Coturnix japonica: one gene and its partner. The protein of the gene in region 2 interacts with the protein of the main gene of each other region in a biochemical or structural test. Links are inferred from orthologs where the notes say so. Each region holds a gene or a part of one and is shown on either strand. Other genes may lie near its edges.

Region 1 (4,046 bases), on a different chromosome or scaffold from region 2:
TTATATGCTGCGTGTGACAGCTCAGAGCTGAAGGGACAACTCAGCACATCGATAAACCTCCCGCATCCACACCTGCCTGCAGCCCCACACACCACCCAAATATCAGAACCTATGAGCACAAACACGCTGGGATGCGCTCTCGCTCTTTGCTCTCGCTCTTTGTAAGTCCTTTTATCACATGTACTGGAATAACATCCTAAATACCACTCAGCTGAGCCCCACTGCCTCCCTGCAGTGAGCTGGGACCGCACGCTCTGGGTGGCTGCAGGGCAGGGGCACGCTCAGCCTTTTCAAACGGAAGCAGAAATACAGAAGCAATAACACAGAGCCCTCACGTTACTTCTATAGGAAGGAACTACAACACTGAGCTCACCTACAAGCAAATTAATCACAACTGCGATCCTGGGAGACAACTCCTCACGCCAGGAATCAGAGCCAAGCTCTGACCTGAGCCTCACAGACTGGAGGCACCCCATAACCTAGTGGCACCCTGTAACCTGGTGGCACCCCATAGGCCCCACAGCACCCGCAGACCCAGTGGCAGAACACACCCCACTTTCTGCTATTTCCACCCAAGCACAAGGCAGGCCCTATGCAGGGTAACTGCAGCTACAGACCCAGCAGGTCTCTGCCCCTCTGCCTTCATCTCTACTCCCTCTGATAGCAAAGTGCCAGCAGCACACCGCCTTTATGGCCAGACACACCAAAACCAGCTCTTTCAGCTGTTTTGACCCATTTTATTTCCCCGACAAAACAAAGATAGCGTGGCTGGCATGCAGAAAACACAACCCAAGGGGTCGTTCTGGCAGCACTGGGGTGCAGGGCTGCTCCCAGGCTGTGCCCGTGAGCCACTGCAGGCAAGTGCTGCCGGCCTTAGGACATGGTTGGGGGGCTCAGTGCAGCCGTGCAGGGCTGTGGGGAGGACGGAGGGCTGCAGAACACAGCACACAGCCGGGGCTGCTACTGCAGCTTTTAATAAACGTTTTCCTCTCATCAGCGTGCGCGGGGATGGAGGCAGAAAATGAGAATCTTAACACCCCCCCCAACCACTCCGTGGAGGCCAGGAGAAGTGAGTGGGTTCCCCCATCAGGACCCCAATCCCTGCACTAAACCCATGTGCGCCCCCTCCCCAGCTCCAGGAGCTGGGACACGAGGCTGGGATTTTGGGGGTGCCCCTCAGGGAAGGTTTGGAGGCAGCACCCGTTCTGCATCCCTGCACTGAGCTCTTGCAGATGGATGAATCTCGTTATAAGAAAACTTCTTTTTTTAAAGGAAAGCTGCTAAGAGGCTCAGTGGGGTGCTGTGGTGGTGGCACAGGGACGGGGGGAGCCCAGAGGGGGGCAATGCTTTAAGGGAATAGAAATAACATGACTGATCCCAGAGGTTGGGAGGGTTCGGTGGCACAGCACACACTGCAGCACGGGGGGGGCACAGCGTGCCCTGCAGGATGGGAGGGCATGAGAGGGTCTGCAGAGAGGGGGTAAGGATGTTCTATGGGACAGAGAGGAAACAGGGAGCACTGCAGGGCAGAGAGGGCTCAGGATGCACAGTGGGATGCGGGGGCATGGCAGACAGAAGGATGGGGGTATGTGAGGCAACGCCAGGACGGGGGGGGGGGGGGCAGGAGGAACTGGAGCACCGAGGGTGGCACGGAAGACCCTACGGAGCCTTGGGACACACACACTGTGCAGAAGGGACACAGAAATCAGTGCAGATGGGGGGCACAGGAGGCAATGCAGCACGGGATGGGGGCACAGGAGGCACTGTAGGGGCACAAGAAGTCGCTGTAGGATGGAGAAGCAAAAGACTCAAGGCAGGAATGGGCACACGCATAGGAGCTGTTGCGGAATGGGGGGGCACAGAAGTCAGTGTAGGACAGAGGGGGCACAGAACTCATTGCAGGATGAGGGGATGCACGGTGCAGGATGGGGGGGCGGGAGGGGGCTGAAAGGGGGAGAGACACAGAAGTCAAAGAAAGCCCGGGGTGCACAGGAAACTTTGTAGGACTGGGGGTCACAGAAGTCAGTGCAGGATGAGGTCTGCAACAGAAGTCCGTGCAAAACGAGAGGGGGGCACACGAACAGTTACTGCAGCACGGGGAGGGTGGGAAACACGGAGATCATTGGCGGAGGGCGGGGGGGTAAGTGGGGGGGGCACAGAAGTCAGTGCGCGGGTGCACAGAAAGTCAGTGTATGGGCTCAGAGCTCAGTGAGGCGGGCGGAGGGGGCGGGAGGCATCAAGAGGATTGGGGCGGGGAGGGGGCAGCACAGAGGAATGGAGGGGGGGTGGGGGCACAAGGAACGATGGGATGAGAGGGGCTCAGAAGTCATCGCGGGAGGCACTACCGGGGGGGGGGGGGCACGGCGGGCATTGCGGGCTGGTGGGGGCGAACACCGCAACGCCTGCGGGCGGAGGTGATGGGGAAGGGGGGGCGAGCGGCCGCTGTCAGCGCGGGGGGGAGAAGCGCTCACCTTGAAGGCGACGGGCAGCGTCTTGTTGCAGCGCCAGTGGGAGGGCAGCACGGAGCACAGGAAGTTGGGGCTGTCGGTGCGCACCAGCTCCCCGGGGTGGTCCGCGATGATCTCCACCATGGTGCGGTTATCGTGCGGCCGCAGCCGGGGCACGGCGGCTTCTTGCTGCTGTTGCTGTTGCTGCTGCTGCTGCTGTTGGGCCACTACGACCGGGCTGACCTCGCTCATCTTGCCGGGCTGCAGGCTGCTGGAGGGGGGGGTGAAGCGCCGGCTGGTGCTGGGATCTACGGGGATACGCATCACAACAGCCACAAGTTAGCGAATTGGGGGGCGGGGGGGCGGGGAGGGGGGGGGGAAAAAAATCGGGGGGAAAAAAAAAAAAAGAAAAAAGCAAGGAAAAAAAAAACAACACAACGGCACAAAAAGAATTAAAAAAAAAGCCCCAGATCTCAGTCTGTTGTCGTTCGTTCGCTCGGGGCTGCGCTGCCCTCAGCTACGCCCGGCGCTGCGGCTCCGTCCCGCAGCGCGTCCCTGCCCGGAGCCGCTTCTCCTCCGTCCGTCCGTCCGTCCTTCCCCGCTTCCAGCCGCCGCTCCTGCTCTCAGCGCCGCGCGACTTTCTCTCCTTTTTCCTTCCTCTCCCTTCCCGTCCGCTTTTCGGGCTTGAAGAGGGGGCGAAGGCAGCCGGCTGTGCTCGCCGCTTCAAGAGGAGCGTCACTCGCAATGAGCGAAGGGGAAACGTCCCGGTTTCCTCCGAAGAATTCTTCCTCCTCCTCCGGCCAAACAAACGGCGAAGAAAAAGGGAGCGAAGCCTTAGCGCCGTGCCGGGGCTGCGGTGCGAGGAGCGGTGCGGGGCTGAGCGCCGGGAGCGGCCCGGGACGAAGATCGGGGCTCAGGGCGAGTCCGGCGCCCGGCTTCCAAACGGCAGCATCGTCGGGAGGGGGCAAAAAAGAGAAGAACCCCCCCCCCCCGGAGCAGCCCTGTGCGGGCTGATTCCGAAACTATGCCCGAGGAAACGGTGGGGAAAGGCAGCTTCGGTGCGGTCCGGTCCGGTTAATTGAGTCGCTGCTGGATCCGAGTCCGGGGAGCCGAACCGGGTAACTGGAATCGCTCGTTTGGTTTGGTGGGGTTAATTTTTAGGGGGGCGGTTGTTTGGTTTTTTTTTTCCCCCCTTTTCTCGATGAACAGCAGCAGGCAAAAAAAAAGTCACTGTCTCAGCAGTCATTCAGGTGTCGCTTTGCGGGAGTTACGCTCCGCTCTCCGAAAAATCGCGTCGGTCGAGAACGATAAAGAATATATTAAAAAAATAAAAGGCGAAAAGCAACAAAAGTTCTTTCGGGTGCCGAAGAGCTGCGTGCGGGGAGGCGGAGGAGCCGAGAGGGGGGAGAAAAAACAACACGCAGGAAAAGAAAAAAAAAAGAAAAACAAGAAGAAAAAAAAAACTCCGCAGTCTTTTTTTTTGTCCTGAATGCGGTTTTTTTTTTTCTTTTGGAGGCTGGGACTTCTAATGATTAGGGGGTTTGTGGTTTATATATACGGGGCTCTCCGGCTGGGGCCATCATTATGCTGATGAGAGTC
Region 2 (3,835 bases):
CATAGGAACGAAGGTGAATATTTCTACTTTTGAAGTCTAGAGCACTTTTGTTGCAAAGGAAAGCAAACAGCCCCTTGCCTGATCCTGCTCGAGGGCATTGGCTTAATAAAAAGCATGCAAGAGCACAAGCAGCCAGATACAAGTGCAAAGCAGTTTCACACACCGGCTTTCTACCATCTCTAGAGCCTGCCTAAAGCCAAAGTCAGCCGCCCCAGCAGGGCCACTACAACACACAATAACCTCCCAGGTTAAGGTTAGGAACTGGAACTCCCAGACAACTCAAAAAGTTCTGTTTGCTCAGTGCTCAGGATCTGGTTCCCCCCGTCTCCTCCTCACACGTTCTCCAGGACATGCCTGCACTTACAGAGCGAGTTTCACATAATCCCTGCCCTTTAGAGTCCAGCATTAAGGGCATTTTCCTAACTCACATACTAGCAATAATAATAATAATAATAATAATGAAAAAGGTGTGAGGAGGAAATGCATTTTAAGTATTTTATTTTTTTTTAAATATAATAGAACCTTCTAGATTTTTTCCAGAAACAGAAACATTAAAAAAATTATACTTTATTACAAATGGTAAACTCAGAGTGCTAAAAAAAAGCCTCTTATTTACAAACAATACTGGGCAGTACCCAAATAAACAACATAAAAATAACTTACAAAGTCATGAAGTAGTTTATTGACATTAATCAACTTTCATAAAATAAAATAAAAAAGGATATGTACATACACCATTTACTTGAAGGCAGGAACAACAGTTCTTGGTTGTTTATCAGCCTCCCACAAACCTCCCTCCCGCTTTTTGTTTGTTTGTTTGTTTCTTAAGGAATACTACATGAAGCAATCTACAGTTTCTATTGCAGTTTAACCTTTAATACTGAATGATCATCGAATGTTAGGTCCATGCAGGTCTTGGTCAATGTTAAACGAAGATCTGTCGCCTCATGGGAGCAGGATCAGCACCTCGGAGCGGTGCCGGCTGCTTCACCAACTCGAGCTGAAGGCTGCCCAGTCTTTGCACACATGTGCTTTGCAGCACGCAGGCAGGACTCACAGCCTCCCAGCTTCTACCGTGAGCTTTACGCGTCCGCCGCTTTTGGTTTGTCGTTTAGTTATACCACAACATCACAGTTCCTATTGAAGTCAGTCTCTTCAAAACGTTTGCAACTGTTGTGTTAGCATTAGCTGGCACCCGCTGTTGACATGGTTCATGACCTTCTGCTTAAGCTGTGCAACCTGTTCTCTGAGCATGTTGGCAGTGGATGCCAGCTCTGAGTTCTGGGCTTTCAAAGTTTTCACTTTTTCTTCCAACCTGGCAATCCTTTCCAACTTCCTTTTCCGGCATTTGGACGCCGCGATTCTGTTTCTCATGCGTTTTCTCTCGGCTTTGATTCTCTCCTGCGACTCCATGTCAATAGGGGACAGGGGAGGGGTTTCCCCCGGCATTTCAGGTACAGTCTGAGGCTCTTCTTTCAGAGCCTGAAGCCTGGGATGCTGCACTGGCATCTGGGGGTTTATGTGATGCTGCGGCGCGTAGCCCATGCCGTTGGCATTGTAGTTGGGTGCGGAATTGAGCGCGTTGGGGTTGAAGTTGCTGAGGTTGGCGTACACCGGGGGCTCGCTGTGCAAACTCGTGTTGAAGCTGCCGCCGCCGGCCATGGAGGACACAGGTGCCATGCCACCGCTAACAGGTTGCGCGGCCGAGGTGACGCTGGGCAGCGTGTTCTGGTTGTGCAGTTCCGCCAGCGCTCTCACGAAGCCTTCGGCAAACCCCTCTTGTTCGTCGGTAACGTTCTTGGGGCACAGGAACTGCGTCGGGGTCGGCGTGGTGGTGATTAACCCGTTGCTGGACTGGATGATGAGCCGCTCCAGCTCCGGGGAGGCCAATTTCAGCAGCCCCACGTCGGGGGAGGTGAGGATGTCGGCGTTCTTGTTCCGCAGGTGCGGCTTCAGGCTGCTGGCCGGGTCGGACAGGTTCAGCGTCATGCTCTGCTTCAGCACCTTGGCGTTATTATATCCATAACCGCCGCTCTCCGGCGGCGCGAAGCTGGCGTTCAGTGCATCCTCGTAGAAAGTAGGCTCCATCTTTGCACTCATAGAACAGAGCCCAAAAAGTGGCGCCGGGAGCCGCCCCACACCGCTCCCGGCCAAGCGGCTTGGGGGGAAAGAGCAAGCCGGAGCCTTCCTTACTTCTCGCCGGGACAACGCCGCTCCTCCCGGCGCGGGCCGGGCCCGCCGGGCCTACGCTGTGCGCTGTGCGCTGTACGCTGTACTCTGTACTCTGTGCGCTGTGCTGCTCCCCGGGCCGCCTCTCCGCGCTGTGCCGGGCCGGGCCGCTCCTGCCGCCGTTGCCGCTTGTACCTCCCGGCTCCGCGCTCCGCTCGGCCGTGCCCGCTGTGGCGGCTGATTCTCGCTGCCGCCCGCCCCGCTCTGAGCCCGCTCGCTCCGTGCAGCCCTTCACTTATCAGCGACCGGGAGCCCGCTAAAAATAGCCCATGATGTCACCCCGCGCGCTCCCCATTGGCTGCCGCCGCCCGTCCCGGGGGAGGCGTGGCGCTGGCCCGGCGCGGTGCATGGCAGCCGGTCGCCATGGACACCCCGCCCCTAGAAGCTTCTCAGCGCCGGCGCGGGGCCTTGTGGGATGAGGTAATGCTGCCGGCGGCGCGGGGCATTGTGGGCTGACGTCTTGTTTTTGAATATCTGGTTACCGCGGCCCGAGCTCCGAGCGGGGTTGGGCGGCTCGACGGCCTCGTACCAACCAACCGCTGCCCTACCGGGTACCGGGGCACCGCGATGCCGCCCCGAGCCGCCCCGCGCCCTCAGCCCGTGCGTTGTGCTGCGCTCGGGGCCGAGATGCTGCGTGCGGCGGGGCCGGGCCGCGCTCCTCCGTTCCACGTCGCGTTGAGTCCCGCCGCATCGCCGCCTCCTCCCCCCCCCCGGTCCCGTTGTTGGTACGGCCCTGAAGGTGGCGCTCCGGGGGAGCCCTCACGTGATTTCCCCGCCTCGCTGCCCCCGCCGCTTCCAGGCAGGGCCGGGGCGGGCGCGCACAGCGCCGGGGCCGCCCCCGCCCCGCACGGGGGCACAGCGCAGGGCGGGCGGCGCTGGGGTGGGGGCGGCTCGGCCTCGTCTCCTCCCGTCCCGGGGAGCCCCGGCGGGCGGGGACGGGCGGCCCGGCTGCCCTCAGCCCCGCCTGCCTTCAGCCGCTGCGGTGAGCGCTGTGTCTGTTCCCAGGGCCGGGAGCTCCCCAAAGTATGAGAGGGGAAAAAGCTGCCGGGAAGGAGCCTGGCTCTGGATGGGTTTTCCTAAAGTTGTCCTCCCGGTTGTAGAGCTGTGCTGGTATTAGTGTGTGAGCGCAGCTTGGCCAAGGGGAACGGCTGGAGATGGAGGGATCCGGTCGGGGAGGGAGGTTTGTGCTGCTCCACAGCTACCGGGGACTCGCAGCTCGGCTGATGGACGGGACGGGAACCCGGGGCAACAAGTGCTGCCGCTGCTGCTTCGCTGCTGGGCTCCATCGCTTTGTGTGACATACGAAGCTGACAAACTTAAGTCTCGGTTTGAAAATGCACTTTAAAACTCTTAAGTGCTATTTTTTTTCTTCTAGATGTAATAACATAATTAGCACTTAAAGTACGGGAGGGAGCAATGTAATAAACAGAATCAAAAAGAGCTGTGAATTAAAAGTGAATGTCTGGATGCACTGACTGATAGAAGTTACTGCTCCTTTTATAGAGTCATCTCCCGGTCCTCCCTGCTGTGCACACCTGGCTGCACTCAGTGTATCCACTTCACCCATGTGCTGGAATCACACAGCCAATACCTGTGCATGTTTGTG

Evidence for each region. The genes of interacting proteins can lie anywhere in the genome.
Region 1: the proteins of JUN (region 2) and RUNX2 form a complex in vitro, tested with the Homo sapiens proteins (2 studies listed by BioGRID). The link is inferred for Coturnix japonica from reciprocal best matches to the Homo sapiens genes JUN and RUNX2.

The regions. Positions count from the first base shown.
Region 1 is NC_029518.1:99,721,876-99,725,921, reverse strand, and holds the start of RUNX2 (runt-related transcription factor 2), read right to left. Parts: upstream 2,803-4,046; 5' UTR 2,772-2,802; coding exon 2,472-2,771; intron 1-2,471. UniProt on the Homo sapiens protein: Transcription factor involved in osteoblastic differentiation and skeletal morphogenesis. Essential for the maturation of osteoblasts and both intramembranous and endochondral ossification.
Region 2 is NC_029523.1:23,599,157-23,602,991, forward strand, and holds JUN (transcription factor AP-1), read right to left. Parts: upstream 2,625-3,835; 5' UTR 2,101-2,624; coding exon 1,156-2,100; 3' UTR 531-1,155; downstream 1-530. UniProt on the Homo sapiens protein: Transcription factor that recognizes and binds to the AP-1 consensus motif 5'-TGA[GC]TCA-3'.